Linked DNA regions of Mus musculus. The protein of the gene in region 1 purifies or fractionates together with the protein of each later gene. This does not show direct contact. Links are inferred from orthologs where the notes say so. Each region holds a gene or a part of one and is shown on either strand. Other genes may lie near its edges.

What was found.
Region 2: the proteins of Itga3 (region 1) and Cd9 purify together in Homo sapiens (affinity purification with western blotting; 3 studies listed by BioGRID and IntAct, with this or other methods). This does not show direct contact. The link is inferred for Mus musculus from reciprocal best matches to the Homo sapiens genes ITGA3 and CD9.

Annotation. Positions count from the first base shown.
Region 1 is NC_000077.6:95,052,179-95,067,710, forward strand, and holds part of Itga3 (integrin alpha-3 isoform 1 preproprotein), read right to left. Parts: intron 13,835-15,532; coding exon 13,585-13,834; intron 11,044-13,584; coding exon 10,957-11,043; intron 10,586-10,956; coding exon 10,375-10,585; intron 9,897-10,374; coding exon 9,700-9,896; intron 7,690-9,699; coding exon 7,601-7,689; intron 7,515-7,600; coding exon 7,378-7,514; intron 7,233-7,377; coding exon 7,146-7,232; intron 6,102-7,145; coding exon 6,034-6,101; intron 5,926-6,033; coding exon 5,789-5,925; intron 5,243-5,788; coding exon 5,093-5,242; intron 5,004-5,092; coding exon 4,906-5,003; intron 4,674-4,905; coding exon 4,526-4,673; intron 4,335-4,525; coding exon 4,263-4,334; intron 3,759-4,262; coding exon 3,679-3,758; intron 3,596-3,678; coding exon 3,518-3,595; intron 2,000-3,517; coding exon 1,897-1,999; intron 1,737-1,896; coding exon 1,554-1,736; intron 1,170-1,553; coding exon 1,047-1,169; intron 380-1,046; coding exon 266-379; intron 1-265.
Region 2 is NC_000072.6:125,486,136-125,502,302, forward strand, and holds the start of Cd9 (CD9 antigen), read right to left. Parts: upstream 8,626-16,167; 5' UTR 8,505-8,625; coding exon 8,439-8,504; intron 7,351-8,438; exon of another isoform or gene 2,415-7,350; intron 1-2,414. UniProt on the Homo sapiens protein: Integral membrane protein associated with integrins, which regulates different processes, such as sperm-egg fusion, platelet activation and aggregation, and cell adhesion.

The DNA.
Region 1 (15,532 bases):
CAGGGGCAAAGGCATAGAGATAAAATGTAAAGGACATATAAAAGGTTATTTTGGAAGTATTACACATTCACACACATACACGCAACCATAACACTGATGTGGTCACAGTAACAGACACACAACTGTGCAGAACATGATACCATTTTACACACACACACACACACACACACACACACACACACACACACACCATGGCTTCAATCCCTCCCTGTCATTCTCCTCACCCAAGTGGATAACAGTAAAGACCTCCAAACCCAGCACTTACCTCAATGAAGGTGCTGTTCCACACCCGTGCTTTCACGGTCACATTGGTAATGTTGGAGGTGTCTGGAAGGGGGCACTCCAGCCACACACAGCGGGCACGGCCATTGGAGCAGGTCTGAGGTGGACAGGAGGACAGACGGGGGACAGCCTGAATCTCTAGACGTGGTGCTGGCTCCTTACCTTCTACCCTCCTAGATTTCATCCCAGCCTGGAGTGACATGGGGTCTGGTCGTTGTTTTTCTCGTTCTCATTTTTCTACTTCACGAACATACATGCAAGATGGACTCTCGGACCAAGCTCATCTGACTCAGGGAACACAAGCGTGAAGCATAGCCCTGCTCAGGCTGGCAAGGTGCAGCCTCAGAAACCTCTTCCAAGCCAAGCACATTGAGCGTTGTCTATTGTCTTGGGATACCCCTGCAACCTCTCTAGCCAGTTAGGCTTCCCCTGGGTCCCCATATTTTCTTCTCAACCTCTTCCTGCATAGACCACTCTGCTCTACATATCCTCCCCACACCAAATGCCCAAGCTACACCCAACAGGGTGTGAGGCCTCAGAATCTGCCAGCGCTTCCTCTTTGGGTCCATTGTGTTGGATGTGCTCTAGGGTAGGAGGTAAGTCTGTTTTTCTGTCAGGAGGCTCTTGAGGCCCAGGTCTACAGCACCTCTCTAACTGATGTCTCTGTGTGAGTGGCTTCTATCACCCTTGCTTGTCGGCCCCTGATGCCCATGGGCCTTGTGTCAGGCTGAGCAGTCCTCCCCGCCTCTGCCCTGGCCACTCACCAACACAGTCTCAGACTTGGCTTTTTTGGCAGCAGCTAGTGTGACAGGCGGGGAACTCTGGTCTCCCCCTGGATCCAGTTGCCGCCGGCGGCGCTGTGGCGACAGTGGTGTGACTCCAGGGTCCTGAAGAGGGCAGAGATATGTTGGGAAGGCAGAGAGTGATAGAATAGCTGATAGGAGGGCTGGGGAGATGGCTCAGCGGTTAAGAGCACTGACTGCTCTTCCAGAGGTCCTGAATTCAATTCCCAGCAACCACATGGTGGCTCACAACCATCTGTAACGGGATCTGATGCCCTCTTCTGGTGTGTCTGAAGACAGCTACAGTGTACTCAAATAAATAAATAAAAATAAATAAATCTAAAAAAACATAGCTGATAGGAGATAGGAAAGGAACAGGGAGAAGCCAGGCTCCCAAAGGCCACCAAGGCAGCAGGGGAAGACACTGGCCTTTCTGCCCTCCGGCATGCAAATGAGACACACATGGAGCATTCCTGATAATGGACTTACAGAGAGAGTAAGGTTGAGAGGGTTGACAAGGTTTCCAGACGGCTGGCAGGGCCAGGAACCATTGCTATGGATGGTGATCTCCGTGGGGTACAGCAGCCACTTGCCATTGGTAACTTCATAGGGCCACTCCAGACCTAGAACCAGTGTGCCCAAGGCTGCCAGCCCATCTCCCACTGGGCTCACCTGTGGGCACACATGACCCGTGTGTCATGGTTACCATCCTTTGGAAAACCACCCACAACTCAACAACCCTAAACCCTTCACTTCTGAACCCCAGACTCCTTACGGTCTCCCCTCTGTCTTTCAGAAGAGTGGACATCCTGGATCCCAGAGGTGCCCTTACCTGGAATTCATATTTCAGGGGACTTCCCACATCCTCCGCAGTTTTCATGGCAGCCTCACCCATCACTGTGCCACCAAAGAAGCTCTGCAACCGATGATTCATTCTGGATAAGAAGACACCAGAGTCAAAGAGGACAGGAGGCTAGAGCCCTGCCAGAGGGGACTGCAGTGTGGATGCGGGTTGCCTACATTGCCCTTGGCACATACGACCCAGTTCTACTGTGGCCCAGCTGTGCGGCCTCACACAGACTACCCATCCTTCCTGAGCCTCAGGTTCCTCGCCTACGAGGTGGGGTTAGTAATAGTTGGTGCAGTATGGGGCAGTGATGCAAAAATCACTAAGAGTCTTTGACATCTTTGCACAGTGGGCTTTTAAGAAGGTGGGAGAGGGGCTGAAGAGATAGCCCAGGGGCTAAGGAAGGACACTTGTTGCTCTTCCAGAGAACTGAGGTTCAGTTTTCGGCACCATCTATAACTCCAGTTTCAGGGGACCTGACTGACACCCTCTTCTGACCTTCATGGGCACCAGGAATGCACATGGTGCAGAGACATACATGCAGTCAAAATACTCCATATATATGAAATATAATAAATCAGAGAAAAAAATTTTAAGCTGGGGGTGGCTGGGGAGGTGGCTCAGGGGGCAAAGCACTCGCTATGTAAGAGTGAGGGTCTGAGTTTAAATTCCCCCTCCCCCCCGCAGAACCCACTTAAAAGCTGAGTGTGGTAGCACACATCTGTAATCCAAGTGCTCCTTATATGAGGTGGGCAGGGGATCCCTAAGACAGAAGGATCCCTAAGGAAGCCCATGGGCCAGCTAGCCTGCATATGCATGCTTGTGAATGCAATGGCCACAGCAGAAAAACCCCCTGCCCCGCACAAGGTGTAGGTGAGATGCAATACCTCATACTGTCCTCTGACCTCCATATGTGTTTCATAGATGCACACATCTGCATTCTCACACATGCATGTGCTAACACACATCATACATACACATACACAAAGGTAAATATCAAGAAAATAAAGTGGAGCCAGGCGTGGTGGCACACACCTTTAATCCCAGCACTCGGGAGGCAGAGGCAGTTAGATTTCTGAGTTCGAGGTCAGCCTGGTCTACAAAGTGAGTTCCAGGATAGCCAGGGCTACACAGAGATACCCTGTCTTGAAAAACCAAAAAAAAGGGGCTGGCGAGATGGCTCAGTGGGTAAGAGCACCCGACTGCTCTTCCAAAGGTCCAGAGTTCAAATCCCAGTAACCACATGGTGGCTCACAACCATCCGTAACAAGAACTGACTCCCTCTTCTGGTGTGTCTGAAGACAGCTACAGTGTACTTAATATAATAATAAATAAATCTTTAAAAAAAAAAAAAAAAAAAAAAAGTGGAAAATTTAAAGAAAAGGGCAGAGACCATCACCTTAGCCCCAAGTGCTAATCCTGCCCCTCCTACCTGTGCTACATACAAGGAATACTAATGCAGCCATCATAGCAACCATGGCTATCAAGAAATGATGACCCAGGAGGGCCCGAGACCAAGAGAAGTGTCAGGGGAGTTTAGGAGGCTCCTTGAGGGTAGGGAAGCCCTGGCTCGGGCACAAAGGACTGGGAACAGAGCGGTACCCACAAGCTGAGCGAGGCCTGGAGGGTGTAGTCCACCTGCAAAGTCAGGAGTACGGGCTGCAAGTTGTCCTGGTGACTCGACCTGAGAAGAAAATGCAGCTGGTGAGCAGGAGACTCAGGATGTGAGCTCAATCCTGACCGGACTCCCTTCACTGGGTCACTCACGTGGACAGCTGAAGAAGTACTGGGAGGTCCCTCGTGTGCAACGTTACCCCGATGACCTCAAAGGCAATGAGCAGCTCCATCTAGCACCAGGGTCAGGGAAACAGAAAGGAGCGTTGAAAGCAGCAGGGGGCTATGGCATGGGGAAGATCCAGGCAAGGGGATCTCCATCCCTCCTCCTTATCCATCTCTGCCTCCTATCTCAGTGATAAGATCACTGGACATCGTTGCAGCTTTGGGAATCTCTGCCACTTTTGCGAAACCTTAAGCAAGCTACTGAGACTTTCTAAACCTGCATTTCCTATTCCGTGAAATATAGCTATTGTGTTAAGGTAAGTTAGGATGGTACATCAGATAAAAGACACAATGCTATCTATAGGGCGAGCATCAGGGCTCCTTGCTTGTGTCTTCCTTAGAATCATGCATAGATCCCTAGTGGCTCCATACTTTAGTCTCTGGGCCTCTTCTCACCCCCTGTTGTGCCTTCCCCTCCTCCACTCTGGTTCTTTGCTTCAAGAAATCCCATGAATTGGGCAGGTAAGATGGCTAGAAGCTCGCCAAGAGAGAAGGATGTGGCCAGGTCTCACCCTCTGGTTCCGTTTGAAGGGGTTTCCTAGCTCACACAGGATGGTCTCGTTATTAGCTTGGCAGGTCCCAGACTGAGGAAAGAAAGCAAATAAGGTCAGGGTTACACTGTCTTTCATCTACTAGGGAGCACAATTAGAAGCCCTGAAGGCTTGTCTACCGAGTAGCAGAGGTACCCCAGTTCCGAAAAAGGTCAGCACACCACAGCAAACGATAATTTAAATAAATGTCATATACAGTGGGGTGCAAATAGCCTGCCACTCACCGGGCGCACGGAGGACAGTAGCAGGGCGGATGGCACCTCTAGGGTGAGCAATGCCTCATGCGCATCTTCCCCAGCCCGTTGGCTGCTCGGTGAATTGGTCACATTGATGCTCAAAAACAGTTTCTTAGTGTCTCTGCTGTACTGGAGCCTGAAGAGAGAAGTCTGGGACTAAGCCAAAAGCCTCACTTCCACTAGGCTCCGCCCCTCGGGCTTCCAGTGCTAGGAAAGCCATTGGGGGCCAACCAAATCATACCGGGCAGTCTTAACCCTGGCTAATTAAAGCACCTCTGCTCACATCCCCCTACCCCTGCTTGCCCCAGTTCTGTCAGCCAGTGAGGCCCCGCCTAGCCCTTAACCAATCAGGGTCACCCAAATACCACCTGCTTAGAGGCTGCAGCTGCTCAGACAGGAAGGCTGCTCGCATCTGCAGGTTGCTGTCGCACTTGTTGTCTGGCCCGCACTCTTTCTGGAAGTGGACCTGGGGACAGTGGAAGGCTTGAGGAGGCTGTGACCCACACATCACCTTCTGACCCTGCAGCCCTCCTGGCCCAGAGAGGGCCTGCTCACCTCAGTGTGATTCTCCATAGCCTGTGCCTGGTTGAGGACTGGGTAGGCATCCAGAGACCGCAAGCCGAGCTTGAGGCGATCAGGCATGCGCAGAGGTAAGGAGTAGTTCATGGCAATGACGATAGGACGGAGTTTATCGCGAACATTGTCCTGGGGAAGAGGGTGCCGGGAACACAGTCCCCAAGCTAAATCCTCCCATCTCGTTAAACCCTAGCCAGACTAAGACCCAGGGGGGGTGGGGGGGCTGGGCTTCTTTCTACCCTAATCCCCTAAATAAGCTAAAACCCCATTAATTCAATCACCAGTCCTGCTATCCTGCGCTGCCCTGCCTCGCTGGGATGGGGCTCCCCTTTACTGTTTGGATCTCCCCGTCTACTTCCGCCTAACACCATGATGCCCCAAAGAGGAACTGAGCTTGTCCCGAATCAGGGTCCCATTCTTTCCAGACTGGGCCAGAGCCGACACCTCTTTTCCAAGACGATAAGCCCCTCGGCCCCATCTCTACGTCTGGACTTACCTCCCTCCTAACATGGGTGACCTGATGTGTTCGGCCACCATCGGCAGATCCATATTTGCCAGACTGACCTCCCCAAACTCTGGGGATGCCCCTATCTGTGAGCTTTGACTTAGAGGATCACTGGCCACCTCTCCCAGTGATCTCAGGGCCCCCATCCTCCCCCACAGCCCCTCTCTCACCATCAGCAGTAACTCCAGTGTCTGGCAATGTGTCTCTGGCATGGAGAAGAAGCCGTGGAAGACAGATGACTGGCTGCGGGCAAATCGGAGCCTGGGTGGGCGTCGGTCCCTGTCAGCCTCCAGTGTGTAAGCCAGGGCTGTGGACAGAGAGGGCAGTCAGCAGGTGGCCAGGTGAGCGCGGGATCGCGCCCATGAGCGCACACCCCATCTCTTTCCCACCTGAGCACACTGTGCCCAACACTTACTGATGTTCCGCCTGTAGTTGGGGTTCCCAGCGCTCTGGTTGTAGGCAAAACACAGCTCCACCTGAACACTGTTGTGGGTGGGGGACAAGAACGCATAGCAGGGCCTGGTCACAGTGGGAAGGATGGACACGTCCTGCTCTTCACTCCTGTGCTAGGCAAAGAACTCAGGACTCTTGTGGGGGGAAAAGGGGGGTCTACAAAGCTGCAGTGACTTCTCAGGACTTCTAGAGGTCACCAGTGGGGAACCTGAGGTCCAGGGAGCAGCAGGGTTTGTGTGATGTTATCAGGTGGCTGATGACCCAGTCTGGGTCTTGGGATCTCCAGATCTTACTTTTGTCTCCGATCCCCTGATTTTCAGCTCTACCTGCCCCCACCCCTTTTGCTACCAGACAGATATACACAAAAAAAGGCACTAGGGTCACTACTGATAGATCGCTCTATTAGCAACTGGGTTTTGTTTGTTTTTGTGTTTGTGTTTGTGTTTGTTTTTGGTTTTAGTTTTTAGTTTTTTCAAGACAGGGTTTCTCTATGTAGCCCTGGCTGTCCTGGAACTCACTCTGTAGACCAGGCTGGCTCCGAACTCGGAAATTCGCCTGCCTCTGCCTCCCGAGTGCTGGGATTAAAGGCGTGCACCACCACACCTGGCTGTTTTGTTTTTTTACAATTAAGGTATAGACTACTGTGCTTAGGATTTTTTTTTTAATAGCATCTCATTTAACCATCACAAGAGCCCTGTTAATTGGTTATAACCTTTTATACATTATCTGGAACTCAGACTAATAATTTGCCCCGGGGTGAATCTCCCTCCCCACGTCCATCCACCAAGAGCATTCCTCCCCCCTTCCTTCCATCCCTCAGTCTTCGGAGTTCCCCCTGCTCTCCCCTGGCAGTGAGTGGCTGCGCTTTGAGCCCGATGGCCCAGAGCTCCTGTTCCTAAGCTCATGCTCAGGCACTAGCTCCCACAAGGAACTTTGACTTTAAATGAGACTGGATAGGGAAGATGTTGCTGAGCCTAAAATGCAGCGGCTGATGGGACATCAGGCGTGTCCAGGGAAGGGCTTAGGGCCTGAGGCCTACGGAGGGGGTAGGAAGAGCTGGGCTGACAGTCTTACCAGGAGGTAGCTGTACAAAGCGCAGGGTCCAACACAGCTGGCCTGGCCACCAAGGTCCTATGGAGGATATTGATGACAGGCCGGGCCCTATAGTAACAAGAAAGCAGACAGACATCAGTATTTCCTGCCTACCCCAGGGCAGGGCTGGGGTTCAGGTTTCTGTGGATCACTGTGGAAGGTAGGCAGATGAGGGCGGAGGAGGGACATGACCCTGCCCAGTCTCTGAGCTCACCGCAGCAGCACGATGTGGTCCGACAGGCTCCCTACTAGCAGGTCTGGGTAAAGGTTTTCATCCACATCCATCTTCCCGCTCAGGGAGTAGCCGAAGGTGGCCAAGCCTGGCAGTCCGAGTTTCTCTCCATGGATTATCTGAAGCAGAGAGGAAGCGGTAGGGACAGGTTCTGAGACCTGCCTGGTGGGGGGGGGGTATCCGACTTGTCCCCACCCATTCATACCTGCTGGGGCTGCCTGAGGAGCCCCCCGGAGCTGCTGTGGTAGATGTAGACTTTGCCCAAGCCCTCAAATGGGGCTCCCACAGCGATGTCTGGGGAGGAGAGACAGGGCAGAGTCACCAGGCATACAGGGCCCCACAGCTCTTTCACTCTCTGCGGCAGGCCACTGAGCCCAGTGTGGCAGTGTTGCAGCGGTGACCTCACCCTGGCAGAAGTGTTCGGAGCAGCCAAGAAGGAATCTCAGCACTCCAGGGCTCTGGTGGCAATGGAGGCTCAGGAAAGAGGAAGAAACTTCCTCAAAGTCACACAGCAAGTGAGGGCCGCAGACAGAGGCCACATCCCCCAGTATAACCCAGGGTTCCCACTTTCCGTATCCCTACCCCCAACAGCCACCCACCTCTCTGGATATATTGGTTCTCCTAAATAACATTTACTCTCAGGACCAGAAAAGAAGCCGTTCCCCGTTGATAACCACCAACACAGCAATCACAGCATCCATTTCGTTTAACCCTTACGAGAATGTGAGTGTGTGTTGTGTGTGTGTGTGTGTGTGTGTGTGTGTGTGTGTGTGTATGTGTGTGAGTGTGTGTGTGGTGTGTGTGTGTGTGTGTGGTGTGTGTGTGTGTGTGTGTGTGTGGTGTGTGAGTGTGTGAGTGTATGTGAGTGTGTGTGTGTGTGGTGTGTGTGTGTATGTGTGTGAGTGTGTGTGTATGTGTGTGTGTGAGTGTGTGTGGATGTGTGTGGTGTGTGTGTGGTGTGTGTGTGTGGTGTGTGTGTGAGTGTATGTGAGTGTGTGTGTGTGGTGTGTGTGTGTATGTGTGTGAGTGTGTGTGTATGTGTGTGTGTGGTGTGTGTGTGTGTGGATGTGTGTGGATGTGTGTGGTGTGTGTGTGAGTGTATGTGAGTGTGTGTGTGTGGTGTGTGTATGTGTGTGTGTGGTATGTGTATGTGTGTGTATGTGATTGTGTATGTGCATGTGTGTGTATGTGAGTGTGTGTGAGTGTGTATGTGTGTGAGTGTGTGTGTGATGTGTGTGTGTATGTGTCTGAGTGTGTGAGTGTGTGTATGTGAGTGTGAGAATGTGTATGTGTGTGTGTGTTTGTGTGTGTGTGTGTGTGTGTGTGTGTGTGTGTGTGTTGCTATCATGTACTATTATTTACTCCCTTTATAGATGAGCAGACTCAAATCCCAAGGTCACACAGCCAGGAAACTGGATTATACATACAACACTACAATGGATTTTGCTTCAGTATAATGGAACTTCCCATGTCAAGACTTTTAAGATGCTAAGCAATGCCTCGTCAAATAAACTCAACACGTTCAATGATCTCAGCCTTTGCCTGACTCATCCGCTATGTTTGATCCCAGGCTGGGGTGACTGAAGAGGATGCCAAGGACAGTGAGTGAGCAGACCCTAGGCTGAAAAAACCTGACCCGTCTGTGGGAAGGGCTTGGGCCTGTGGGCTGACCCCTCTGGCATCCATGTCTGCTTTTCTTCCTTTGGCTCTCGGCTGTGTGGTGGGAACTGAGATTGTCAGAGGACTGACTTTTGGTAAGCTAAGTGCTTCCACAGTAATTGCACTCATATCATAATGCGTCCTCCCTGTGACTTCTCCCTGGGTCTGATTGTATTGTCCCTGGGTCCCACAGAACACTGGCAAAGGAATGGCACTATGCCTAGGACTCCCTCGTTGTGCCAGCCCTTTCTTATCACCTGATATGGTACATTTTGACCTTCCTCATGAGGTTTCTAACCTGCTTCCACCCCATACCACCCCACCCCCAGAATCACCCTCCAAAGCAACAAGCTATATCTCCCATCTTACTCTCGCTATGACCCAAACAGAAAGCCCCGTTTCCTCTGCCTGGCTCTCAGAGCATTCACCAGCTTGTCCCCAGTGTACGCTTCGGTAGTGTACATGACATTGCTCCTGTGTTCATGTTGCATGCTATGCCGACCGCTCTTTTGTGCACTCTCAACCCAACCCACTTATCACCCTCTATACATCCTCTCTGTTACGACTTTGAGCTGCGAGTCCTGTCAAGCTATGCAGCTGGTGCTCAGTCAGCGAGGGTTCTGAAGGAGGGATACTGGCTCCTACCCTGGAATCCATCCTGGTTGATGTCACCGATGCTGGCTATAGAGATGCCAAAGGCAGAGCGGCTGGGGCCGTGAAGCAGGAGGGAAGGTTGATCAGGGAAGGATGCGCCCGCCTGGTTCATGAAGACATAGACGGCACCCCCTACCTCCTCTTTCCGTTCGAAGTAGTAGGGAGCACCCACCAGGAGGTCCTGCCACCTGCACAGGGGAAGAGTGGGAATGGAAGTGTGAAGTTGGCCCCTGATAGACATTGAGAACGGCATCTAATGAGCATGATTTTGCCAAGGGCCATGCAATTAAGCAAACGGCAGGTCCTACCATGGTTCATGAGAAGGCCAGCACAACCCACCAAACAGAAAACACATGTCACAGAAAAATCACACAGGCAAAGATCACCCCCCCAAAAAAAAACACCCCTACCCCATTGGGCACCTTATGAATGACAGACAAGCAAGCACAGGTGTCATGCAAATGACATGCAAATATCCAGACTCATGCAAATGACATGCAAATGTCCAGACTTCCAAAAGGTGCAATTGAGACCTTGAAAACCGTGAACCGCAAAAAATGTGTGAACGGAAAAAGCTTCTACTTCTCTGATCTAGCTTGAGCAAGCCTGCTACCCACCACCTTTCCCCCTGGCCCCAGAGGATGCCCCATGTCCCTGGATTCTCACCCATCATTGTTCAGGTCTGCCAGGGCAATGGCACTGCCAAAATAAGCGCCCACCTGCGTGCCCTTCAGCACCTGCTTCCTCTGCAGGTCTCCACCTGACTCTTGCTTCAGCAAGAAGACAGCGCCCATATGTTGGTGCCGTGGGGCACCCGTCACAACAGTGATGATGTCCGTGGGATGTAGGATGGCGTTGCCTACCTGCACCGTGTACCCTGGGATGGGGGGGGGGGGAGTGTTCAATCAAAGCCCCAGTAAATCTATCCCCTTCAATACTGAACCTATCCTCATTGTCCACCCTCTATTATTTTTCTATTCCTCTAGGCCAAGTCGAGTAACAGATCCAGTCCTTGCACACTGGGTTTTGAGCTTCCTGATGGAACTTTGCGTCCGAAAGCTTAAACCATGTGCAGAGTCTCGCATGCAGGCGGTGCTCAATAAGTGTGTGCTAATTGAACAAAATGCCTCAGGTCACATCTGCACTGTACTTGCACCTCACAGCACACACCAGGGGTAAAAGGGCCAGTGTGTTAGGGATCAAGGTGGCTCCTCCCATTCTTCAGTAGGCCACCAGCACGGGGCTTACCAATATAAAGGTTTCCTTGCTCCTCTGAGCCCCTGTAGCTATATTCAGATAAATCCCAGTCCTTCCGCTGAATCATGTAGCTGTTTCCTGCAGAAAGATTGGGGAAGGAGAGTAGCAAGAACCAGTCACAACCTTTTCTTCTACCAAGCCCACCTCCCCACAACAACAACAACAACAACAACAACATGTGTGAGCACTGTGCTGATAAATCACTTCCTCATTTTTTTGTTGTTGTTTATTTTGTTTTGTTTTGTTTTGTCTTGATCTCCAAGACAAGGTTTCTCTTGGTAGTTCTGGCTGGCTTGGAACTCACTCTATAGACCAGGCTGGCCTTGAATTCTCAGAGATCTGTGAGCCTCTGCCTCCTGAATGCTGGGACTAAAGGTGTGTGCCACCATTGCCTGGCTGCTAAATCCCTTCCTCTTTGAGAATGTTTTTTGATGTAGGGGGTGGGTAGGTGGGATGGGGCTGGAGAGATGGCTCAGTGGACAAGAACACTGACTGCTGCTCTTCTAGGAGACCCAGGTTTGAGTCCCAACACCAACTGTAGCTCACAGTGGTCTGTAACTCCAGTTCCAGGGAATCGGACAGGCCCTGAGCTCATGCCCCTCAGGCCCCAGCCTTCCAGCTGTTGGCTGGTTTATGTGATTATAGGTATGGGTGTTTTGCCTACATGTGTATCTGTGCACCACCTGCATACAGTGCTTGCAGAGGCCAGAAGTGGGCGTTGGGTTCCCTTGGAGTTAGAGTTATAGACAGTTTTGAGCCACCTTGTGGGTGCTAAGCCATCTATCTCTCCAGCTCTTTAAGCAAGTATCTTGAGAGAATGAAGTATTCTGTAACCTGAAAAGGATGGTCCTGTAAGTATTGACCATGACACTGCTTTTAGCCTATGATGTACGAAAAGAGAATGCGGGAGGCCAGAACATTTCACTTGATCTCTTTGCTTTTAAGAAGATATTTATAAACACTAAAATAACGGGCTGGAGAGATGGCTCAATAGTTAAGAGCACAGGCCGCTATTCCAGAGGACCCAGGTTCTGTTCCCAACACCCACATGGCAGCTCACAACTGTCTGTAATTCCAGTTTCAGGGGATCTGACACCTTCCCACAGACACACACCCCAGCAAAACACCAATGCACAAGTGAAGTAAGTGTGAAAGGAGTCCTAAGACACTGTGAATGTTGGAAAAGGCATGAGGGAGGTGGAAGGACAGGAGGAGCTTTTTTTTTCTCTCTCTCTCTTTAATTTGAGGTACTGAAGGTTGAATTTTTTTTTTTTTTTTTAATCTTGAAACAGGGTCTTGCTAAGTAACCCACGCTGGACCTGAACTCACTGCACATCCCAGGCAGGATTATGGAATCCTCCTGCCTCAGGCTCTGAATAGCTGGAATCACAGGACAGTGCCACTGGGACTGGCCATTTTTGCTCTTGCTTCTAACAAATCCTTAGCTAAGATTTTAGTGCTGCTGTAGGCTGGAGAGATGGCTCAGTGGTTAAGAACACTGACTGTTCTTCCCTAGGTCCTGAATTCAAATCCTAGCAACCACATGATGGCTCACAACCATCCATAATGAGATCTGATGTCCTCTTCTGGTATGTCTGAAAAACAGTTACAGTGTACTTACATATAATAAATAAATAAATTAAATAAAAAAGATTTTAGTGCTGCACCAGCATGTTTGTGAAGGTTCCCAGCGGTTGAGCTGACTGACGTCAGACGGGTCGCAATCCAATCTAGGTTTCCTAATTTATTGTTGGCTTTCTCTAAGACAAAGTTTTTAATTAAGTAAAATGGGTGTAAAATGCTGTGTCACCGAGGACTTTAGAAATGCTAACACATATAAATATATTTATATGTGTGTTATATAATATAACATATATATTATATAGCACATGTAATTTTATTATATATATATATATTATATATTTTATATATAATTTCAGCACTCAGGAAATAGAGACAGGAGGCTTGCTTTGAGTTTGAAAATAGCCTGGGCTACATAGAAAGTTCATAGTATGATCTACCACCTTTCTCTCTCTCTCTCTCTCTCTCTCTCTCACACACACACACACACACACACACACATACACACACACACACACACACACACACACACACACGAGCGTTTTTCAGATTGCTTAAAATAATATGTGTAGGGAGCTGGGGAAATAGCAGTGAATTCTTTGCCATGGAAGCATGGGAAGCTGCATTCGGATTCCCAGCATCCATACAGAAGGCCAGGCACAGCATTACAGGTCTAAAACCCCAGCTCTGCCAGGCTAAAAAAACAGGCGCATCCATGGAGGTTACTGGCCAGCCACTCCCCTCCCGCTTTAATCAGTGAACTCCTGGTGTACCAAGAAACCTTGTTTCACAGAATAAGGTGGAAAGCAACTGAGGAACTAATGCCAGCCTCTGCCCGCTACAGCCACGTGCGCACATGTGGACATATGCAGAAGATTTAAAGATGGTGCATGTAAAGCCATTGGCACACAGTGAGTGCTTTAATACTGCTGTTGGCCTGGGGCCTTGTCTCTTGTGACCCTGACCCTGGATGGTCTTGACTGGCTGTGGCTTACTGACAGGTAGTCTCCGTAGCACCCCCTTCTCCCAGGTCCCCACCTTTCCAGTTGTAGGCACCAGGGGCACCGAAGTATACGGTGTTCTGGGTGAAGCCGCCGCTGGTGCCCAGCTGGCACATGCCGGTCTGCAAGTAGTCAGTGTTGCTGTTACACATCTCGTTGTGGTATGTCTGCCAGTCATCGCCGGGGTCGAGCTGTAGGTCATTGCCACGCACATAGCACTTGCCCACCATGCGCCGCTGGTCTTCTAGCCCAGACCACAGCACCTTGGTGTACCGATGGGCACAGACCTAGGGACCCACAAACACACACACATATGGCGTTAGACAAGATCAAGGAACCTATGGCAAGCTATAGCTCTCACCCTGGGCACTGCTGGCTTTGTGAGTCAAGGGCCAAAGTGGAAGTCTGGTTTCGGGCTGGAGAGATGGCTCAGTGGTTAAGAGCACTGACTGCTCTTCCAGAGGTCCTGAGTCAATTCCCAGCAACCACATGGTGGCTCACAACCATCTGTAATGGGATCCGATGCCCTCTTCTGGTATATCTGAAAACAGCAACAGAGTGCCCACATACAATAAATAAATCTTAAGAAAAAAAATAAGAGGAAGTTTGAAGTCTGGCTTCTTTTTCTTCCTGTGTGTATTCTGAAATCTGTACCTTCTTATCTATTATACTGGAATCAAGGGTCAGGAGTAGATCCGGGGAAGCCAGAAGGCATGAATTTGAGAGCAACTTAGAGGTCTTGGTGAAAGGAATTACAGGATGAGGGAATGTAGAACTTAGGCTCCTGGGTCTAAAAGGAGCTATTTACAGAGAGATTAGGGAATTCGGTTCTCTTGTCCCCAGGTAACCCTGCTGTTCAATGAAAGGGTCATTTAAAATTATTATTAATAATGATGATGATGATAATGGCATTAATAAGAGCAGTGAACGTTTGCTTATTTGTTTGTTTTGAGATAGGATTTCTCTGTATAGCCCTGGCTGACCTGGAACTCCCTATGTAGACCAGGCTGGCCTTGAACTCAGAGATCTACCTGCCTCTGTGCTACTACCACCCGGCTAAGCTAACACTTCCTGAGCACTTCCTTATACACCAAGCACAAGCTCTTCTCTCATAGCAACTTTCAAATTTTTTTAATCTTATTTTTTGTGTAGAGGTATTCTGCCTGAATGCATGTCTGTGTACCATGTATGTGCTTGGCACCTGCAGAGGGCAGAAGAGAGGGCATCAGATTCCGGGGAACTGGAGTCAAATCCAGCATTGGGAGGCAGAGGCAGGCAGATCTCTGGATTTGAAGCTAGCCTGGTCTACACAGTGAGTTCCAGGCAACCGTGGCTACACAGAAAGTGCTGTGAATTAGCCTCTGGGCTATACAGTATCTAGAAACAGGGGGTGTTCTTGTTTAGTGACTTTTTCTGTTACATCCCAGCTGTAAACACCACCAGCATTTCACATGAGCTTATCCTTAGGCACTGCTAAATCTCTGGTGCTTAGCTAAATATTTGTTGACCGAGTAAGGGTGGGTAAGGAGCTAATCCTAGCGTCTTCAACCACTTAAACAAACTTCGAGACACACACCCACAAACAACAGGGGGTACAGAAGGGTGGTCTCATGAACTGACTGACAGCCCAAAGCTTACAATAGCGTTCTCGGGACAGAAATCACAGTAGTGATGATTATAGGAGTGGCGACCACTCGGAGGTGGCTCAGAGAACTTTCTGGGGTGATGTAAGTATGCTCTGTTTCATGGGTGTTACTGACATAGGCTTATCATTGGTCAGAGCTCATAGAAAATCTGCCCTTTTCACTATAGGTAAATTTTATATAAACTTAAATAATGTCTATCCGGGACACAGAAATTGAGATTCCCAAGGGCTGATATTGAAGAACTGTCAGCAGCAGAAGGTGACAATTGACAGCAGGGAGTGGCACTCAAATCAGTGCCAGGGTGAGCCAGGGCCATCAGGGCTGTGCCTCTTCCGGCAG
Region 2 (16,167 bases), on another chromosome or scaffold:
GGCCGCCTTAGTGGGGAGGGGCCATTTCTGGGGTGGACATTCCTCTTTAGGGTTAGGCAGTGGGGGTTCCCCAGCCTGAAAACACCCATCAGAACTGGGGTGTGAACATGTGATGTATGTGCAAACTGGCACTCTGCCAATGCTCTCACCCTTGGGACATGCACCCCGATACCTAAATTTCCACCCACGGGAAAAGCCATGGTGAGCTCACAACTATTCGCGGCTTTGCCTATCTTCATTTAGTTTTAATAAATCCACTGGAAAGGTGTGTTTGTGTGTGTGTATGTGTATATGTATATATGTGTGTGTGTGTGTGTGTGTATACATACACATACATACATACTACATATATACTATACATATACTAAATATACTATAGACTCACGGTACGTGGAAAAGGGATAAAGATTAGAATACTGCAGGAATCCGTCTGACTTTAAGAGAATGGTTCAATTGACTTTCTGGTATTTTTAGCCTAAGCCTAGGAGAGCTCCAGTGAGCCACACAGGGGCTGTGTTGTTTCTGATCCCCATGTACTGGCAGCTCAAACGGAGGCAAGGTGTGAGTGAACAGGGGCTGTCTTCTGATGCTAAGAGGAGGTGGGAAGTCAGTGGGAGCCAGCCACTGACCTGCCCATGTGAGGTGTGTTCACAGGACCCCCGATGGGCGTTGGGTCAGATGTGAAGGCCACCACTGTCCATCTACACAGTGCCCCTTGTACTCACTGGGCAAGGACTTAACAGCCAGAGTTGGTGATACTTCTAGTGAACAGTTCCCAAACCCACAGAACCTTCTTTGGAATGCAATTAACATGGGCCATTTCCAAGTTAGACTATTCTGGCTGTTTCTGTCACTTAACCAGGTGGCTCTTTACCTCTCTGGAGACCCAAACCCTACCCCTGCCCCTTCTCAAAGACCCCCAAAGGAGAGAAGAGATAAGGCTGAGCTGGGCCTTCTACACTTGTGGGGTGGGAAGAGGAATCACCAATTGGAAGCTTATGATGCTGGGTTCCTCGTGTGGTCTAGAAGTACAGAGCACCAGTTAAATTAAGCCAGTGTCTAGAAACTCTTTCAGCAAGGATTAACTGCAGAGTCAGTGAGGGTGGGTGGGGAGGTGGCTCTGCAGCGTGGGCTGCCCCAAGTCATCATGGGAGCTCAGGGTTCCGCTGCTCCCCTCTTCTTTCTGAGATTGGGGACTGGAGCCAGGGCCTCCTGCATCTACAACCCCAGTCTTTTTTTGGGGAGGGAGACAGGGTTTCTCTGTATAGCCCTGGCTATCCTGGAAATCACTTTGTAGACCAGGCTGGCCTCAAACTCAGAAATCCGCCTGCTTCTGCCTCCGGAGTGCTGGGATTAAAGGCGTGCGCCACCACGCCTGGCAACAACCCCAGTCTTTAAGATTTATTTTATGTGTAAGACTGTTTTGCCTACAACATGATGCCTTTGGAGATCAGAAGGAGGCATGGGATCCCTGGGAACTTGAGTTATAGGTGGTTATGAGACACCGCGTGGTTGCCGGAAACCTAACTTGAGTCCCCTGTAAGAGCAGCAAGTGCTCTTAGTCACGGAGCCATCTCTCCAGTTCCCACAGCACCAGTCTTGAATCTAGGCTAGTTTCTTTTGTGTTGTTTTCTTTTTGTAATAACCTGCGAGACATAGACTAATGTCAATGCTGATTAAGCCAATTAAAAGTTTTTAGTTTTTTCTATTGATGACCAGACCAAGAGCGGGCTTGAGCCTCTAAAGAATCTCTCGGTGCCCAAGCTCAGGGGTACAATGTTTTTAAAGGTAAAACCCACACAGATAATAGAGAATGGTCAGAGTAACCTTGAAATGGTCATTCTTGGCAGAACACAATGGTTATTTTAGACATATGGACCATTGTCAAGGTCATGGAAATTTCAAATGTTTTGCTAAGATAGATGTGACTAGAGTGTGTGTGTGTGTGTGTGTGTGTGTGTGTGTGTGTGTGTGTCAGATGGCATTACCTTGGTTATTTCAGTAATTTTCTTTCTTAAATTATCTCTGTTTTTGAGACAGGGTATCCATAAGTAACCTTGGCTGTCCTTGAAACTCACTCTATAGACCATGAGATCCACCTGCCTCTGCCTCTGGAATGCTAGGATTAAAGTCACACGTCCCTATACCCAGCTAAACTTAGGATTTCTTTCTTTCTTTTTTTTTTTTTTTTTCTCGAGACAGGGTTTCTCTGTGTAACCTTGGCTGTCCTGGAACTCACTTTGTAGACCGGGCTGGCCTTGAACTCAGAAATCTGCCTGCCTCTGCCTCCACAGTGCTGGGATTAAAGGCGTGCACCATCACGCCTGGCAATTTAGGATTTCTAACAGTACTTTTTAAAACCTTCTATTATTCCCCCATTCAATTCCAGGAAATCACTCATGTCAGAAACATGGGATTCAGGACAAACCAGAGGTTACCTGGAAACCAAGGGAAACAAATCAATATGGGGCCGTTCCTGAAGTTCACGGGCCCCAGAACAACAACAAAACCAAATCATGTATAACGTTCCCCACCATCCCCCACCCCCCCACCCCCGAAACGAAGTCCTACTAATTTCATGGGCTTCCCTAACAAGGTAACAATATACCCACAATACTTAAAACTTAGCTGGGCATGTTGGGGGCCCATGCCTTTTTAAATCCCAGCATTTGGGAGGCCGAGGCAGAGGCAGAAGCAGGAGGGTCTATCTCTGAGGCCAGACTGGACTACATAGAGAAACCCTGTCTCAAAAAACAAACCAAACAAATAATAATAATAGAAAAAACTCCACAAAACCCAAAACAATAACAACAACAAAAAACCCCAACAGACAAGCACCCCTCCCCACATGAATCTATAACTAAGTATTTTCTTGGGTGGATGGGGTAGAAAATTACCCGGATGGATATAATTTTTATAAAATTGTCTCATCTGGGGACAGGATATTGCTTTCCACAGCTGCATGCCACCACTTGGTGGAAAATAAAAATGTCCCTGGACCAGCCTGACTCTTTTACAGAATGGAGCAGCCGGGTGTCATGCAGTCAGACTTCGAAAACACAACATACAAAAAGTTACTAAGGCTAACTTAAAAACCAAAACTTCTTTAGTTGAAATATACTTCACCTGACAGTTCGGTGTCAGGGAGATTTACAGCCTCTGAAATGAGGAGGTTTCCCCCCCTCCCCCTCTTCTGTATTTAAGAAGTAAAACCCATTTCTGCAAGACTTTGACTGGAAAGCAAAACCCAACCCTTTGAGGGCTGGGGCAGGGGGTGGGATGGGGGTACAGCTCAAGGGCAGAATGCTTGCCTTCCATGCACAAGGATTTGGCTTCAATCCCCAGCTCCAAAAACCAAAAGAATAAAAAAGTTGACAGGTCCTATTAAAGTCCCTCTCACCCAACCAGAACAGGGAGGAACTCAGAAATCACAGTGTGATCTCTTTTCTCAATGCCACAAGGGTTTACCCAGAACACACAAGACGGCACCAGCACTGCAAAGCCACCAGAACCCTGAGATCGGAGCCTCCACTCCTGTCTGTCCCAAGCCAGAAATAAGAAAACACCCAGGCAAATCCATCTACCTCTGTGCGTGCTACCAAAGAAAACATGTTTCTTGTAAACCCAAGGTATTTTTAGGTCCCAAACTGTGTGACCCATTTCAGAGGCCACAGCTCCTTATAAAAACTGAACTGAACCCAAAACTAGGCGGAACCACCCCAGAACACACAGGCCTATGTGTTAAGATGAAAGGTTCATGCCCAAAACACCACCCAAAGAAGGGCAGGCAGGAGCCAGGAAAGGCTCACTTAGGAAAGAGAGCACTGACCGGCCACCCCAGATCCACTCCTCTACGGCTGCTTATCAAAGCCTGTCCAAATTTGGGAAGTAACCAGTAACCAGCAACCAGCAGCGGGCAGCAAAGGCGTCTTGGGAGCAATAGCAAGGTCTGGAATGTTGCCACCGGCAATCTGAAAACAGGGGCAGTGTCTGTGAAGAGTGTGTGTGTGTGGTGTGTAAGAGAGTGTGAGTGTGCTCACATGAACCCAGTTCTCACCACCACCCAGAGATTGGGATTCCAGATCTTGGTTACTGGTAACTATGGCTGGGGGTGGGGGAGAAACCAAAGCTCTAGGCAGGGGCCAGTTCCTATTTTCCATAGCTGGGCAGACACTTGGCCTCGGCTCACCCTCTCCCCAACCTGCCAGCCAGCTCCAGTACAAGCAGGGCAGTGTCGCTCCAGCACAGGCGGCTCTGTGGGAAGCCATTTTATGCCACAGTTCAACCCAACATCCAAGTCAAACAACTTCTGCAAGGAGCAATCTGGGTGGGGAGGGGCTCCTGTTCCAGCCACCTACCCCTCCACAACCTGCCCCGACTCGAACCCGGATGCCTTGGAACACTCTAGAGTCTCTTCAGCTTCATTTCTCAGGAGTAGGTGTACCTTCCTCCCTGAGTCAGATGTGTACAAAATGGAGGCAGTGGTTCTGCTTTGAAGAGTGAGGCCAGCTCTCCTACGTCGGCTCGTATGGCAGGGAGATGTGGAAAAGCCGTAAGGCTACACGGCACACACAGCCACATAGTCCGGCCACACTGAGTAGGAGGAGTGTGGCCTAATCTGTGGTTTAAGCATCCATACTTACCTGGGAATTGCTCCCACCCTCTCCAAAGACCTCAAATCACTTTCTACTAGTGAAGCAATAGAGCTACAGGGAGATGCAGCTAACCTGCCCAGGGGCTGAAGATGCTGAATCCAGGGCTGTACACTGACCATTACAATCTATGACCATAAAAGGCCAAGGCGGGGCTGGAGAGATGGCTCAGTGGTTAAGAGCACCACCAACTGCTCTTCCAAAGGTCCTGAGTTCAAATCCCAGCAACCACATGGTGGCTCACAACCATCCTTAAGGAGATCTGACGCCCTCTTCTGGAGTGTCTGAAGACAGCTACAGTGTACTTACATATAATAAATAAATATTAAAAAAAAAAAAGGCCAAGGCAATGGAGCACTTACCAAAGAACCAGAAGAAAAGGAGACCCCCCCCCCCCCCCCCGCCAAGAGTGAGGGAAGGTAAAAGGAACAGGGAAGATCCAAGAAACAGGTTTATACTCGCAGGTAAAAGCCAGGGAACAAGTCTCACTATCCACCGTGATTTCCAGACTCCTACACCTCTGTTACGTGGCTTGCCGGGAAGTCTTATTAACCAGAGGAGAGGTGGGGCAATGGTGTGTGGTGGCCGGGGCTCGTTCTATAGGCTGATCTTGAATGGACCTTTGAGACCTTTTGCGTCAAGTCATGGGTTTTGTGATGAGGAAACTTCGGTGCGGATCAGGAAAGTGAGCTGCCTGTGGTTCCCAAGTAATCCGCCCTCCGCCAGGCTCTGAAGCCTGGGTCAGCTCTCTGCCTACATTTCCAAGCTGCTTCCGTGAAGGTGATGTCATCTCTGGAGGTGGAGGAGATCCCTCTGTTACTTCCATCCTTCCGGATGGGGAAGGAGCAGAAACAGAGGGTCAGAGTGCATGGAAGCAGGATCTGGCTGGCTCTCTCAATCTGGGCTTTCCTTTGCCGAGGCTAAAAACCATAAAAGACTTCGCTATGTGGGATCTGGGGGAATGGGTGTGCGGGATGGGGAAAGGCCAGACAGAGGCAACAGGATCAAGGCCAGTTGGCTGTATAACAAAGCCTTCAACAAACAAACAAACAAACAACGAATGGGAGAGGCACATTCCAGGCCCGGCTCAAGGCTGGCCACCACATTATAGCCTGAAACACTTCTAATCACCTGCCATTCAGACATTAGGAAGATGTTTTCTTTCTCAATTCTTTTCTTTCTCTTTTGGAGGGAGTGGAGGGATAGACATGGAGATCTGAGAGAAATTTGGGAACCACCAAAATAGGCTTGTGAGGTCTGGCTCTGAGGTTGTCGGAAAACAGACCGATTGCTGGCTTGGTTGTGGGCAGGAGACACCCAACTTCAGAAAGGCAGGCTGGGCAGGCTCAGCTGTCACAGAGCATGTCCCACAGGGGACATGCTCGGGCCTAGGAGAAAGACAGATTCCCCTTTGCCGGTCCTCCCTCTCTTCCACTGTCCCAGGGCGACTACGAGAGGCTGGCTTCTCTTTGGATTCCTGCCATCCAGCCGCTCAGTATCCTCTACAGACAAAGGTGGCCTCTGCTTTCCAAAGCCCACACCAGGCACCAAATGTCAAGTTCATAAATCACTGGTCTCAAGAGATTGAAGAGGTGACATCATAATGATCCCAAGGGTTCCCCCGAGAGAGATCACCGCCTGTAGTAAAAGATATTTTGAGGAGTTTCCTCTCAGCCTTCCTTTGCTCCTGCCCAATACTAACTACCTCACTTGATAATACCCTATCACTTGACCCTGCCTTTAGCACTTAACCTATCATGGGCAAGATTTCTGGTCAAAATGGGAATAATGTTTCTTTCTCTGGTTATATCATGGAGCTTGGGGAGGCCTTTGGAGACTGTAAAATACTTAGCACAGAGATTGTAACAGGACTGTCCCTATTAGAGCCCAGGGTAGGGCAGGTAACAATAATTAACATAGTAAACCGCCCACCTCCCTAATGGTAAGAGACAGGAGAGTAAAGAGAGCAAACAAGGGGCCCAGAGGTTACAGTACTAACTCGGCTTGCGATCTTGGGCACCCTGGTTCCTCACGGTGGACACGAGAGCTAGCACCTCCAGCTGGTGCATAATCTCCAATGCAGTTCCCAACCCCAAAGTCAAACCCTTCTAGAGTGAGACTGTCCTGCTTCAGGAGGCAGAGTCAGCCAGCAGCAACTTGTCAGGGTTCTGGATAGGAGCGGAAGTGGCAGCAGGAGACAAGATGGGCAGACTGTAGGCCAGCAGGCAACAGAATGAGAAGACATAGGGTGGCCATGGGCACCTCCTCTCAGCCCCTTACATACATATGCCATGGGGGGCAGATGGGAGATGTAGGCAACTATGTGGTTTCCCCTTAGCACCAAACTTTCACACCATCTATGCAGGCGTCTGGGGACTGACCGACAGACTAGCAGGGAAGAGACTAAAAGGTAGAGGGAGGAAAACTCCCCAAAGGACAGGGCGGGGTTGGGTGGGGCCAGCTGCCTTCAGACTTTGTTTTGTAACAAAGCGCTCAAGCTGATGAGTGGACCAAGCCAAGCCTGGGAGCTGGCTGCCTGTCTGCAGAACTGGGGAAACACAAGCAGGGAATGTCCTCTGACATCCTCTTAAGTTGTATGGGTGTGGTGGCTCCTAGAAACCCAGGGCAGTCTCTGCAGGTTGTGCAACACTTCCAAGCAACCCTGGAGAGTATTAAACCTTACAGTTGCTGGAAGATGGTGAGCATCCCGGTGGCCAGCTCCAAAGGGAATAGTGGACTTTTTAGTTGTTGTTGTTCAAAGTCTCTGGTGGCACAGGAGTTGCCTAGTTAAGCTCTTTCCTGATTGCCTGGGAGCAAATTCCGTCCATTTGTGTTTGGGAGTGTGCCCTCTCAGAATCAGGACAAAAGGGTCTTCCGTGTATTTCCTTGCTTCTGTCCCTGAGTTTTGGGAGAGTGGACACTCTCTTGTTGCCCTACCCAGAGGCCCATCTGTAGAGTCTACTAGCACCTGCCTCTGGACCCTCTGCAGGTGAACGGCCATTCCCCTTGGCCCCACCTGGACATTTTTAGAGCGAGGCTTCAAGCCCGCAGTACCTGATTACCTGGGAAATGCAGAAACACCGGATTTATCCCATCTAGAGGCGCCAATAGGCACCTTCCCCGCCTTCTTTTCTCTTAACTCTCCCAGAGTTCTCTACAGCCAAGATAGTTATCGCTCTTGAAAAAGAATCAAGACAATCTAGTCTTTCAGGTAGCTTAGAGAGAGGCATGGACGTTTTCAGTTGAGAGTTCAGGTCCTAAACAAGGAATGTCCGACCTCCAGGTGCAGGGAAGACTCCCCACACCCACTTCCTCTCCCTCCGTAGCACCCCTTGTCACTTGTGGGACCACCGAAGTGGGAGACGCTCGACTGCCCTGCTGGCAAGGAGCCTTGCGGGCCGGGGAGGGCATCGAGTTACTCGAAAAGGTTGCTCCGCTCCTCCCTCACTCCTCTCTCACACTCGGGGGTGCTCCGGGTGGGAGCAGGCACAGAGCCCATCTCAAATACTCGGCGGTAGAAGGACCCGGGAGCGAAGTGCACAGCCGGAGCCACCAGGACCCTCGGCTCTCCCACCCACTTGCTCCTCCCGCCCACCTGCCAGTCCCGCCTGGCCAGCTGGCAGCCGCTGCGCCTTTCTCTACTCGCCCGGAGTCCGCCTGGCGCGCGCAGTACCAGCGGCTCCCGGCGCTCTCGGCCGCCGGGACACTCTCCGCCCCGGACGCCGTCTCGGGCCTGAGAACAGGTGGCCTCGGAGAGGAGCGCGCCGACAGTCGCCTCTCACTCACCCAGAAGATGAAGTTAAATCCGAAGAGCAGGTATTTGATGCACTTGCTACCTCCTTTGACCGGCATGGTACAAGCTGGAGTTGCGTGGGACAAGAGGCACGAACGACTGGGACAGAAGGGACTCGACAACCGACTGAGACACGCTGCGGCTAGGGGCTGGCCTGAGGCTCCACTTTTAAAAAGTGCCACTCCTTACGGCGCTCGGCCAGCTGCTATGCGCATGTGCGGAGGGATGCCGACCCCGCCCCCCGGCCCACCTGCCCCGCCCATGCTCTAATCCCCTCCCCAGACCCAGGTTCTGGGACTTCGGTTTCACCCTCAGTGCAGAGCTCTCTCTGCACCTAACTTTTGCCGTCTGGTTTCTAAGATCCTCTTTCCCTCCATCTTCCTTCTTCCCACCGTCTCGGGGTCTTTCCGGACCTCCGTACCCGACTTCTTTTACGGGGAGTTAAGTGCCGGCCTCGCCTTTCCCGTTCATCCTAGTTCATCCTGGGCTCTGCATAAGAGCTCACGTTGGAAGACCCCCAAGGGCCATGTAATCTTAAGAACCTTTTCAGATTCCCGAGGCAAGTCTGCGAGCCCCTATTTGCCTGGCTTGCGTTCTCTCTGACACCTCCTTGTAAACCTTTCTGGACTGAACGCACTTAGTTGAGCACGGTGGCCGCTAGAATGTTCTAGGTGCTAATCTGAGCAGTTCTACTTTGCTCAGAAACTTTCTACGTTCAGAGACTTGAGTTGAAACCCTTCTTCATCCTGTATTTACTCCGTTCATTCCCTGCCACACCTGATGCCACACCCCTACTCTGCTGCGCCTCCATGCCTGCAGGGGTGTATGCTGGCCGCCCTGCCTCCTTGTGAAAATTCTATTGTGCTTTATTATTTTTTTTATTTAAATCTATTATTATTTTGAGACAGAGTCTTACTATGCTGTCCTATCTGGCTTGGAACGCCCTGTGTAAACCAGGCTGGCCTTGAACTCATAAAGATCTGTCTGCCTCTGCTGGGATGTGCCAATACGCCCAGCGATTTCATTTCTTTTGAAGTAGGATTTAGCCGTTTGTAGACCTACTGACCCGGAATTTGCTTATGTAGCTCAGGCTATCTTCAACTCCAGTCCTCCTGCCAGAGCGGTTCAGGCCACCACGTCCTGCTCTGTGACTCTCTAAATTCTTTCTTGATTTTTTCAACAGGGTGAAGAGGCCCTTCTCAATATCCTTTACAGTTTTCTCTTCCTCACCCCTGCAGGAAGTTTCCTTAGCATTCTTCATTGCAAAAGCAAACCGTACTTATTACAGAAACATCAGAAAATATCAGAAAGCAAAAAGAATGTGAGTTAAAATTTTTTTTCCTGGGTTAAAGTACGTTGGAGGCCAACGCCACAGGAGACCCGGTCCCCAAAAACAAAAAATAAAAACAAGAAACTTTTTCACATAGCAAACCCAGCTCTGTTAGCATAGCACAGCTCTTGTTTTACTGTTTATCAGTAGACTGGCTTCACTATTTATCAGTAAGTAGACTGATTCATTAATAGACCCAGTTAAAAACCTTTTTTTTTTTTTTCCCACAGTTTAGTTTAGAAAGGTTCTTCACTGGGGAACAGGAGTCGAAAGCAACACATTCTGTCTTCCCTGAAGCAGCTTAGGAGTTGGAAGAAGGACGCAGGCAGGAGACTTGGAGGGTGTGTGTGGTCAACTTAGGGGTCTCTTGAGAGCTCTCACAAAGTAAGTGTTACAATCAGGGAAGCCTGGCAGAGCTGGGGCTCCCGTGGTCTTCTGGAGAGAGCTGGTGAGGACCTTGTCCTCTGAGAGTGAAGGTGAACCCCGGGAGTGTCAGGTGAACCCCTTGACTGTGTGTGGGCACGGGACAAGAGGGCAGCCTGCAAGTGCTGTGCGGTTAGGGACCCTTGTTTGTATCTCCACTCCCTGGTGTAAAACCTTGGGGCACTGGACAGAAAATCCGAATGCATTTGAGGAGGTGCGGTTAGGTAAAATGAAAAATGGAGCTCCGTTAGGGGGTGTGACCAGTTTGGGACCTATGGGAAGGTAGGAGCGGCAATGGGACCTAAAAGTCTGCCGAGGAGTCATGTGGGAGCCAGAGGGAGAGTCTGAGCAGAAGCCGAATCTCTAAGAGCTTCTTTCGCTTCTTCTAAATTTTCTTAGTTTTACCACGTTATTCTTGTTGAGTGTAGTGCCATGAAGGCACCTTTATCCACGGATAGGGGTTCGAGAGACCCTAACAGGCAATTCTGTGGACATCCCCGAGTCAATCTGAGCTAGGCCCCACGCAGGCGCTATCTATGACTTTGGAAGTCAGGAGGCATCAGCGGAGCAGAGAGTGGCCATCCAGGAGGAGCTGTGTGTGAGGGCCTAGAAACACAAAGACATGGCAACTGTCTGTGCCAGGGAAGCTACTGGCTGTGGGGGAGCGAGGGCAGAGGACAAGGAAGGAGGCAGAGCTGGGATAGGGAGAAAATAAGGTCTCCTTGTACTGTTCTGGTGGGAGTCCATCCATCTTAAGAGAACAGTTCTATTTTTGTTTGTTTGTTTGTTTTTTCGAGACAGGGTTTCTCTGTGTAGCCCTGGCTGTCCTGGAACTCACTCTGTAGACCAGGCTGGCCTCGAACTCAGAAATCCGCCTGCCTCTGCCTCCCTAGTGCTGGGACTAAAGGCATGTGCCACCACGCCTGGCAAGAGAACAGTTCTAAAGAAAAGGTTTTATCTCCTTGTACTCCCTCCCCCACCATGGGAGAGTGGGGTTCAGTAAACATTTGTGTCCACATCAGAACCTGCTCTGGATAGCGGTGACTGCTGAAGAGACTCTCCCCCAGCCCACTGCCATCACTATTATGGTTGATCTCCAAGAAACAGCCTAAGACCCCATTACATAGAATCATGGATTCCTTTTTTTAAAAAGATTTATTTATTCATTATATGTAAATACACTATAGCTGTCTTCAGACACTCCAGAAAAGGGCGTCAGATCTCATTATGGATGGTTGTGAGCCACCATGTGGTTGCTGGGGATTAAACTCAGGACCTTGGGAAGAGCAGTTGGTGCTCTTAACCTCTGACCCATCTTTCCAGCCCCCTCATGGGTCCCACCCCCCATTTTTGTTTTTGTTTTTGTTTTTGAGACAGGGTTTCTCTGTGTAGTCCTGGCTGTCCTGGAACTCACTCTGTAGACCAGGCTGACCTCGAACTCAGAAATCTGCCTGCCTCTGCCTCCCAAGTGCTGGGATTAAAGGCGTGCGCCACCACTGCCTGGCTGGATTCCTTTCTTTTAAAAAAATTATTTTTCACTTGTTTGCTTATTTTAAAAGAGTCTCAGTGTTGTCTTAAAGTGGAAATCCTCCTGCCGGAGATCCCAGGCCCACACAAAGATGTTCCCTTATACGACAAAAGCCCTGAACCTGGAGTTGAGGGTCTTGGTCCCTACTCTGTGGTTTATTTGGAAGGGTTACCTCCTGTCTTGGGACTCTGGTCTTCTATGGTGTAGTGATGTTCTGGGCCAAAGTGTGTTTGTTACAAAAGCTTCATGCTGCAGGCAACCAGGAAAAGGGAGGAATGGAAAAAATGTGGTTTGCTTTAACTAGAAGAGGAAAATGTGGGTAAGCCCTTGAGTCAGCGATCACATGGCGGCAGCCAGACCTTCCAGGCTTTTATAGAGTTGGGACTGGGAAAACTTATTCTGCCTTCCCTGGGGGTGGGGTGGGGGTAGGGTGTGGGTGGGATCCTGTTTCTGGAAAAAACCCCAGTTCAACTCAAGGGGTCCCAGTTGGCTCTTGTGCTCCCCCTGGTGGTAAGATTTAAACGCATACGGCCAAGTTGGCTTTAGTGTGGTCGTTTGTCTCATCCCCATGTGGGTACCAGCATATGCAGCCCCCAACAGGATCCTTTTTCGAAACAAGAGCCTCCTGGCTACTGTAGCAGTGACCATTGGGTTTGCTGCTTTCACTACGAGAAGGTTCCACGACTTCCTTAACTCTGAAGCAATGGTTTTCAACCTTCCTAACGCCAAGACCCTTTAATGCAGTTCCTCATGTTGTGACCCCCAAAGGATTTTGTTGCTACCTTATAACTGTCATTTTGCTACCATTATGAATCATAATGTAACTACCTGATAGGGGACTCCCAAAGGGGTCGCGATTCACAGGTTGAGAACAGCACGCTTCTTGAAAGCCAGCGGTGTGAGCCTTGGGCCATTGCTCTATCTAGTCTTGTCCGTGTGGATTGCTTGGTGTGACTCTGGGCGTCAGCGTATTCCTGTATTGATACACACGTGGGTGGTGAGCACCTTCAAATAATCTCAGTTTGGGGTAGGGGGCTGGAGAGATGGCTCAGCAGTTAACAGCACTGACTTCTTTTCCAGAGGCCTTGGGTTTCATTCCCAGCACACCTGTAACTCCAGTTCCAGAGGATCTGACACCATCTCCTGGCCTCTGTGGGCACCAGACATGCAGGTGGTGCCCAGGCATTCAAGCTAACAAAACAGCCATACCAACATAATACAAATTCAGATTAAAAAAAAATCTAAAAGACCATTTGCCTGGATTAATTTCCATCCCTTGCTGGCTTTCTGTAAATATCTCTGGCATAAGTTCATGGAGACAAACCTCACTCAAGGGTTGGTCCTCAGGGGTCTGCTTTGCTCTTGGCTTTCGAGTTCCCACCATTTCCTTTGTCTAGTTACCTCTTTGTCAATTGAAGTCATCATGTTTGTTCAGCAGTCATCCAAACATGTCCTTTCTTAACCCCCAGAACTCGTGGGTGTGCCACTCCTCTGTGCTTGGAGTGAGGGGCTGTAGATAGAGTTAAAGGAGCTTGAAATGGAGATATTTTTGGTGGGACTTTGTAATCAAAGAGATTTGTGTTGTTTGCTTTCATTTTTTTTCCTCTTTTGACAGATCTCATTAAGGAGCCCAGAGTCTTTGATTCTAGATCCTCTTGCCTTATCCTTTTGAGAATTGGATTTCCTTCCTTCCTTCCTTCCTTCCGCATCAGCTCCTACTTCCTAACCTGCTTGAGTTCCAGTCCTGACTTCCTTTGGTGATAAACAGCAGTGTGGAATTGTAAGCTGAATAAACCCTTTCCTCCCCAACTTGCTTCTTGGTACTGATGTTTGTGCAGGAATAGAAACCCCGACTAAAACAGTCCTCTAGAACTTAGTTAAGAGCCAGTGCTCTGAACTGCTGTACCATCTCTCCATTCCTCCAAAGAGTTCCTATGAAAGAGAGGTCACAGTTCCCTAGCCAGAGGATGAGATGTGAGGACAGAAGCCCAGGTTAGGGCGATGTGTGGCCTTGTGCCAAGGAACCCAGGTGCCTCTGGAAGCTGGACCAGATGAAGAAATGAATTCCCCCCTTCAACTGTCAGCAGGAACAAACCCACCACTGCCCACTTACTGACCTTTGATCTCTGGAGTGGTAAAATAATTGAATGTGTTATTTTAAGCCACTACACTTGTCATAATTTATTACAGTAGCAGAAGGAGATGAACACAGTTATTAAAATAAACATTGGGACCAGGGCACAAAATCTCTTTGGGATCCTACATGCAAAATGAACTTGGTCTTTTTCAATCCTTCTTTCTTCCGTCAGCCTTCAAGCCCTGCCTTGCCCGAGGCTCTCCCTTCTTCTTCCTCTTACCTGCTGAGCGAATAGGGGCCCTGTTTCCTAATATGTCTCATGTGATGGAGCACACCTTCAATTCCAGCACTTGGGAGGCAAAGGTAGGTGGCCATCTGTGAGTTCAAGGCCACCCTGTCTACAAAGTGAATTCCTGGGTAGTCATGGCCACATAGTGAGTCCTCCTCTCAGCCAACCAGACAATCTCCCAAAATATTGAAACCAAAACCAACCAAAGAATATATGGAGGCAAAAATAAGAGATCCCCAGAATAGGTTGGCTGACCAGACTAGACAATTTCCTGAGCTCTGGGTTCAAACAGGAAACTCTAGGTCAGTATAACAGGTGGAGGATGATTGACAAGCAAGACAGTTGACATCTGGTCTCCATATACATGGTCACATTTCGCGTGCGCTTCCACACATGTGCACTCACCTCAAACGTGTGGCCATATGTAAACACACACACACACACACACACACACACACAGACACACACACACACACACACACACACACACACACGCGCGCGCGAGCACACCTTACAAAAATCCCCTTTGAATAGCTCTCTCTTTAAAAATCCCATTTCATGGCGGATAACCTTGTCTCCTGCCTCCATATCCAGCCTCTGTCAACCTCTGATCCTCATTACCTATGAATGTCCTTTGTACATGTTTATGTAGAGTAGTTTAGCTCTAGCCGGGCATTCCAATTTCTTTCTCTCTCTCTCTCTCTCTCTCTCTCTCTCTCTCTCTCTCTCTCTCTCTCTCTCCTCCTTCCTCTTGCCCATCTTTCTTAAGTCATCCTCTTCAGAAGGTGTGTGTGTGTATGTGTGTGTGTGATGGTAAGATGGTGTTTGGAAGAAACCAACGTTTAATACTGCTGATTCATTATGTCCCTTAACCTCTTCTTGCTCATTTTTCCTGTTTGAAGACTTCCCAGTTCCCTTCCCCAGTATACTGCGACTCTTCTGTAACACTACGACTTTCTCCTACGATGGAGAGATGGAGAGTGTGTATTATTATTGATCCAACTATTGTAGCTAAAAGGCAAACTCCACAGGTGTGGGAAGACTTGACCATGCTTGGTGTATATTACCTGCTTTGCATAGGTCAGACACAAAAGTAGTTGCATAGTAAATGTTGACTGTACAAGACCCTGACCTCCTGGATCTGAGATTGGCCAAGAGGCCCCTTGCTCTCTCTTCTGCTCCTCTTTCAGGATGTCACATGAATCCTCATGTCTGGGTTCCTCACTTCCTTCCCCAGCCCCAGTTCCTGGTCCTTCTGCCTTTCACCTAGCTGTCTTTAAGGCTAGTTTAGCCCCTATCATTCCAGCGTCGTCAGCCACCAAAGGCTGCTCATGACCTCTCTCATGCCCCTGCAGTGATTTCTGTTTTGTTTACTTGTTATGTATTTATTTTAACTCTTTTTTTTTTTTAAGGCAGGGTCTTAGTATATAATCTTGACTGTTCTGAAACCCATTTTGTAGACCAGGCTGGCCTCAAACTCATGGAGTTCTTCCTGCCTTTGCCTCCCAAGTGCTAGGATTAAAGGGGTGTGCCACCATGACCAGCCCTTGATTAATTTTTTAGGACAGATCTTACTCTTTAACTTACATTGACCTGGAATTTAGTGTGTAGTCCAGGCTAGTCCAGAATCCACAGGCCATTGTTCTGCCTTGGTGCTACACATATTGGATTTACAGGGATGAACCTTCATGCCCAGTTACTTGTTACTTTTTAATTATCAACTAGACTCTTAAAAAAGTCAACCTGGCCTGTGATGTCATGCCTTGTGCATTTTTAAAACAAACAATCGCAAGTAACCTTGATTCCCAGCTCCTGTTTGTAGGTAGTTTCTGAATACTGAAAGCAAGCCTCTAGGGCAAACTCATGGGTGGGTGTCTATTACACTTCAGGCAGGCGCTGATGGTGAGAAGCCCATTTAATATGTAAATACTCTCAGAGGTTGAGAACTTGCCCTCACACATAAGCAAAGAAAACAAATTAAGAATTGCGGAAGCAGCCAGCTTGAATGAACTCAGATGGCCCAACCCCAGAGCCTCTAGCTAAAAGGCTGACTCCTGGGGCGTGAGTGGATATAT